Sus scrofa: one gene and its partner. The protein of the gene in region 2 interacts with the protein of the main gene of each other region in a biochemical or structural test. Links are inferred from orthologs where the notes say so. Each region holds a gene or a part of one and is shown on either strand. Other genes may lie near its edges.

Region 1 (2,767 bases), on a different chromosome or scaffold from region 2:
ACCACAGCTCAGGCAATGCCAGATCCTTAACCCACTGAGCAAGGTCAGGGATCGAACGCACAACCTCATGGTTCCTAGTCAGGTTCGTTAACCACTGAGCCACGATAGGAACTCCAATGAATTTTTAATATGAGAAGTATTTGTTTACCTGACAATCCATATTTACCAACAATCTGTCCCAGTTCCTCTGACAACCCTAAGAAACATTAGCTTTATTTGGAAAATAAGTAGAAATGGGTTGTTGTTCTCAGAGAGGTGAGCAGCCTTAGAGCCCGGGTGTGAAGGTTCTGCAGCTCAGCGACCTTGCTGCCAGCAGATTGGACTTTGCACCATTCCAGAGCACCATCAACTGTTTCGATGACTGGGTTTTGCTTTTAGTTGCTCAGAAAGTTAAATTTGTAGACTGCTTTGTTCTCTCTCTTGTATTAGTTTGCATTTTTCTTTCTAAAGGACACAGTCATCCTTTCATTTGAGTTTTTCTTGTGTTTGCGCTCTCCCAACCCTTGGCTCAACCCTCCTTGCTTTTTATGTACTTGCATTGTTTTCTAATGTTCCCAGTTTTAGTGGGAAGAATTTAAAAATTGTTGGACTAGGTTTTATTTTTAAATCTTGATACAGGAATACTTCACTTTAAAATATGCATGTGGTGGAGTGCCCATTGTGGCGCGGCGGTAACGAATCCGACTAGTATTCCCGGAGGATGCGGGTTCAGTCCCCGGCCTCACTCAGTGGGTTAAGGATCCGGTGTTGTTGCCGTGAGCTGTGGTGTAGGTCGCAGACGCGGCTCGGATCCCGAGTTCCTGTGGCTGTGGTGTAGGCCGGCAGCTGTAGCTCTCATTCGACCCCTAGCCTGGGAACTTCCATGTGCTTTGGGTATGGCCCCGAAAGGCAAATGAATAAATGAATAAATGATACATATATATATGCACGTGGCATATGCTTGACTGGGAAGAAAACTATTTCACAGCTACTGCAAGTTCTTTTGTGATCAGATTCAAATTCTGAATGATTGGAACAGTCACTCTCTTCAGCAGCCAGAGCGCCTGGTCCGAGACGGCTCGCAGCACTCAGCAAGGTCAAGTTGAGTCAACCCACTGCTGCGTGTGCCGTCAGGCGACAGATGGCTTGACAGCGAGCAGGCTGTTCCCATCAGGGGCTGTTAATGGGAGCGCCTCTTTATTTAGCACTTACTTTGTGCCAGGCTCTAAACGAAGGGCTCTCCATCAATTGTCTCTTTTAATCCTTGCCACATCTCCGTGAAATAGGTGTTAGCCCCCCTTTATATAAAAAGGCTTTGGCCATACTTAAAATTGGGGTGCTTTGATGGGCTTGTCGGTTTGTGTTGAGCCCCCCAAAATGTTTACATCCTGAAAATCGTCTTCTGAAGTTCTCCTCTTGCTCGCGCTCTCTCTCACCCTTGTCGGCCGGTGAGAGAGTGAACCTTCGTGCGCTTTATTAAGTCGATGGTTACCAGCACTTGCAACGGTCCCGTTTGCTCATTGTGAGCGTCAGTAACGTCTGTTCCTTTTCCCTCTGTCAGCAATCAAAATATAAAGTGATTAACAAAGACCAGTGGTGCAACGTGCTAGAGTTTAGCCGAACAATTAACCTTGACCTCAGCAACTACGACGAAGATGGAGCGTGTAAGTACAGCGCCGGCCCGCTCCTCCCGCGTCGCCGCCCCTCTGCTCATCTGCCTCGTGAGAATCCTCATGGCCGTGTTTTTTTCTCTCTCCCTCTCTCTCTTCAGGGCCAGTTTTGTTGGACGAGTTTGTGGAGTGGTATAAAGACAAGCAGATGTCCTAGGACTTTATGCATAGCAGCGAGAGAGTCACTGTTACCACAGTTCTGTCAACCATTAGCCATAAATTGCTGTTTGTATCCAAGCGCATGCTGCTTTTCTTGCACTGTCTCCGTTTGGCAGGGACATGTTGGTGTTTGCCATGAATGGGCCAGCTCTGCTTGCTGTGTAGCATTGTTCTCTTGGAAGGCTGCTTTGCAGTTTGTATTTACACTACAGATTGGTGAATTTGCCAACGTCCTCACTGTGATGATGTGTATATTGCTGTTTAAATTTTGTATATGTGTATAAAAAGAAAAAGCTTCACCTAGAGATTATTTCTGCAAAAATGTAAAATAATCTTTGTGGCATATTTCTAGTCCCTTTTTTCAAATGAACCAGTTATACTTTTATTTGGTCTCAAATGTAGCATTTCAGAAGACAAGACAGAACAGCGGTTACCATATGCAGGTGTTGCCAGAATTCACCTTGTTGTTTAAGAGGCCAACTTGTGGAAGGAGGTGGGAGTCATAACTTTTCAGAGGCATATGCCAAAAGTAACTTGGTTTACCTAAATATTAGCATTTTTAAATGATGAAAGTTAGAATAATCGAACCACATAGACACATGCCACGCCACCAATCATTTCCGCCACGCAGGGTATAGGTTTTGATTTTCTAATGTTAAACCTGTCATAGTTTGAATATAGGTACAGATGAACAAATTGAAGTTGCACCTTCTCCCCCCCCCCCCCCCCGCATTGGTTTTAAACTCTTATAAATTTTTTTTTTAGTGTTTTTTTGTTTTTTTCTTTTGCATTCTTTTAGTCAGTGTTTGGTCTGCTGATGCTTTCAATGCCATTCTAAGTAAAATTTATTTTGCTGCCTCCATGAAAACCTAATGGTTTGCTGGCAATTTGTCACCGCAGAGCACTTTTAGTTGTGGCTTGAATTTTTAGTTAAGTTTTCATGGTGTCTAATTTGTGAA
Region 2 (3,500 bases):
AAGGTTTCACTAAAAGATAAATTTGCTCATTGCCACATAACAGAATCAGGGCTGCTGAGAGTTCCAGCTGACTTCTAATAACCATCTGATCTGCTCTCTGAGTTAAACTGGCTTTAAATGTCTTGGGTCTTGGTTTTGTTATTTATTTATTTATTTATTTATTTATTTTTGGTCTTTTTGTCTTTTCTAGGGCTGCATCCGCGGCACATGGAGGTTCCCAGGCTAGGGGTCTAATCCGGGTGTAGCTGCCAAGCCTACGCCAGAGCCACAGCAACGTGGGATCCGATGGTTCTTAGTCAGATTCCTTAACCACTGAGCCATGACGGGAACTCCGTGTCTTGGTTTTAAAATCAAAGTCAGGGCTTTTTTTGTTGTTGTTTCTTAGCTTTTTGTTGTTGTTTCTTAGCTCTGTTTTACTGAAAATGCTTCTGTTTTCCTCCTATCTGTACTTAAAATACTGGCTTACTAACAGTTCACTTGTGTACCAGGCACTGTGCTACGTGCTTCCTCGGGTTATACTTAACCTTTACCATTTCCTGTGAGACCAGGTACTTTTATTATTCCACCTTCCAGAAGGGGACACCTCTGAGTACTAGGAGGTTCAGCATCTGCACAAGGTGACATGTTAATACAGCCAGAACTTGAACCTAGGCAGTCTGACTCCAAAGTCCTGGTCTTGAGGGCTGTGATAAACTATTCCAGTCAGTTTGCATCCTCCCAGCTGAGTGATTTCATTATGATTGTTGTGGGCATTTCCATTTAGTTCTGTCATGATCAAATAATGAGCCAAATTTCTAAAAATTCCTCATTCTTTGCTCAAGGCTCATCTCCTGGGATCACCATTCGTACATGGGACTGGTGCTTGTTCAGATGACTGGTTTAGTCAGGCTTTTATATATTACTACTTTAGCATCACTTCATAGTTTGTTTTCATTATCTGTCAGCCTAATAGAAATAAATTATAATGATTTTTCTCTAGTATCTTTTGTACAGTTATAAAAATATATGCTGATCTTCAAGATGGAATAATTATGCCTCAGAGTTTCTGAGTTCAGATGTTATTCTTACAGAGCAGACAGCCTAGTTTTTAAGCACTGGGACTATCGATGTTCTTTCTAGGCTCTACTTATCCCATTTCAGATTCTCTGGGCCTTTTGAGATCCAGAAACAAATGGCAGGAGTGCTGAGAGTAGCAGGAGTGGACGTTTTCCTGGTGCTGAGGAGGGCAGTAGGATTTGGTCATGAATATAATTTAGGTAACCTGATTTTTCAAATATTTAGGTATTTCTCACTCTTGACTGATTTTCACTTGGTCCCAAAGTCGAAACGCAAAAAGTGATTCACCCCAAATTGATAGACTAAGTTATTAGATCATTATTTCACCAGATTTAATTTAGGCTCAAGAGGGAAGGTCAGCAGAGGGAATGAGCTCACTGCGGGTCACCTTGTATGAACTCAGCCTTCTTATTAGTGATACCGAAATGTAGACTTTGTAACTAAGATTCCCAGACTGACAGGAGCACTGTAGCCATGTTAACTCAGCACAGAAAACTTCCCCAGAACATCCAGATAATTAAAGGGAGAAGGAAGGAGGATGAGAGGGAGGCGAGGGTCGGGGAGAGGGGGAGGGCACTGATTTATAAAGGTAATTTCCTCAATACTGTTCTTTTTCATCTTTTATTTTATTTATTTATTTTTTGCTTTTTGGGGCCTCATGTGTGGCATATGTAAGTTCTTAGGCTAGGGGTCAAATCGGAGCTCCAACTGGCCTACGCCACAGCAACACCAGATCTGAGCCATGTCTGTGACCCATACCATAGCTCACACTGATGCTTGGATACTCACCCTGCCTAGTGAGGCCAGGGATTAAACCCGAGTCTTCATGGATACTAGTTGGGTTTGTTAATCGTTGAGCCACAATGGGAATTCCAGTCAGTACTTCTATTTTTTTTTGTTTTGCTTTTTTAGGGCCACACCTGTGGCATATGGAGGTTCCCAGGCTAGGGGACTAATCGCAGTTACAGCTGCCGGCCTACACCACAGCCACAGCAACGCCAGATCTGGGCCGCATCTGCGACCTACACCACAGCTTACGGCAACGCTGGATCCTTAACCCACTGAGCGAGGCCAGGGATTGAACTCTCATCCTCATGGATCCTAGTTGGATTTGTTTCCACTGTGCCATGGTGGGAACTCCAATACTTCTCTTAAATATGAGAAAATCCTTGTATCAAAACAAGGAGATTTTACTAGGAAATGATGATCATGTATTTTTTTGTGACTTTCTTTGTAAAATAATTACTAATTCAAAGGAAAAAACTAAAGTGAGATGCATAATTAGCAAGAGAGGTAAACCTTTGACTGTGTAATGGTTTGATCTGAGCATTACTATTGGAGCCAGAAACTCCCAGCATAGAGCCAGACTGTTTTACAGTGGCTTTAGGAAAACCCCTTTTTTCCCTTATGTTATTTTCCTGTTTTTGTAGTTAGAAAAGCCACAGTTCACTGCCATTTCTTATTGTGGTTCAGACTTGCATCCCAGTAGTGCCCTTGACTAAGTAGGAACTTAGCCAAGTGTCACATGATTTTAGATCGCTTTGCTAACTGTAAAGGAATGTAGAAATGTTAAAACATATCTTACTACCTTTCTAGGTAGACTATTTAATATTAAATAAATTAATACTAATATTAAAACATATCTCACCAAGTTTCTAAGTAGAGAAGTACCTTTGTGCTTACATGAAATAAATACCGTCTTAGTATCAACATAGTATCTTTAATTTTACAATTAAAGCTTTCCTGTTTATTGAAATGTCATCCAATGTGTCCATTAACTATCATAAATATTATTAATTCAGCTGTGATATAAAAAATTATTTTTAAGTATCATGTGGGCATTGGGCTTTAAAATGCTTTATATATAATGTGATTAGACCAATAGCGTAAGCAGCCATAGTTTGGTAAGCTTTGGTATATTTCTGTAGATACTTGTATTTTCAAGAATGTTTGGTGTTACACCTTTGTTTCAGTGATCGTGGTGGAGAAGACCCAAACCAGAAAGTAATCCATGGGGTTATTAACTCCTTTGTTCATGTTGAACAGTATAAGAAAAAATTCCCCTTAAAGGTAAAAAGCCTTCTTTAAAAAAAAAAAATTAGACTTTTAATTTCTTAAGTTGCTTGTTCTAATTTTTAAATATGATTTAATTGATTTTAGTTTTATCAGGAAATCTTTGAGTCTCCCTTTCTGGCTGAAACAGGAGAGTATTACAAACAAGAAGCTTCAAATTTATTACAAGAATCAAACTGCTCACAGTATATGGAAAAGGTAAGAAAGAAAACATATTATATATCAGGCACGGTGTTACATAACATTTTTATCTTAGTTAATATTTTTTTGTGGAAAAATTTCTGGTTTGTTTGTTTAATCATTGTACCTGTTGATAAGCTGTTGTTCTTGCTGTGCCTGTCTCCATGAGAAAAAGTGCTATTCCAATTTTC

Evidence for each region.
Region 1: of the proteins of CUL2 (region 2) and DCUN1D4, one has a biochemical effect on the other in vitro, tested with the Homo sapiens proteins (2 studies listed by BioGRID, with this or other methods). The link is inferred for Sus scrofa from reciprocal best matches to the Homo sapiens genes CUL2 and DCUN1D4.

What each region holds. Positions count from the first base shown.
Region 1 is NC_010450.4:39,055,685-39,058,451, forward strand, and holds part of DCUN1D4 (DCN1-like protein 4), read left to right. Parts: intron 1-1,540; coding exon 1,541-1,643; intron 1,644-1,750; coding exon 1,751-1,806; 3' UTR 1,807-2,767. UniProt on the Homo sapiens protein: Contributes to the neddylation of all cullins by transferring NEDD8 from N-terminally acetylated NEDD8-conjugating E2s enzyme to different cullin C-terminal domain-RBX complexes which are necessary for the activation of cullin-RING E3 ubiquitin ligases (CRLs).
Region 2 is NC_010452.4:57,731,889-57,735,388, reverse strand, and holds part of CUL2 (cullin-2), read left to right. Parts: intron 1-3,029; coding exon 3,030-3,126; intron 3,127-3,216; coding exon 3,217-3,327; intron 3,328-3,500.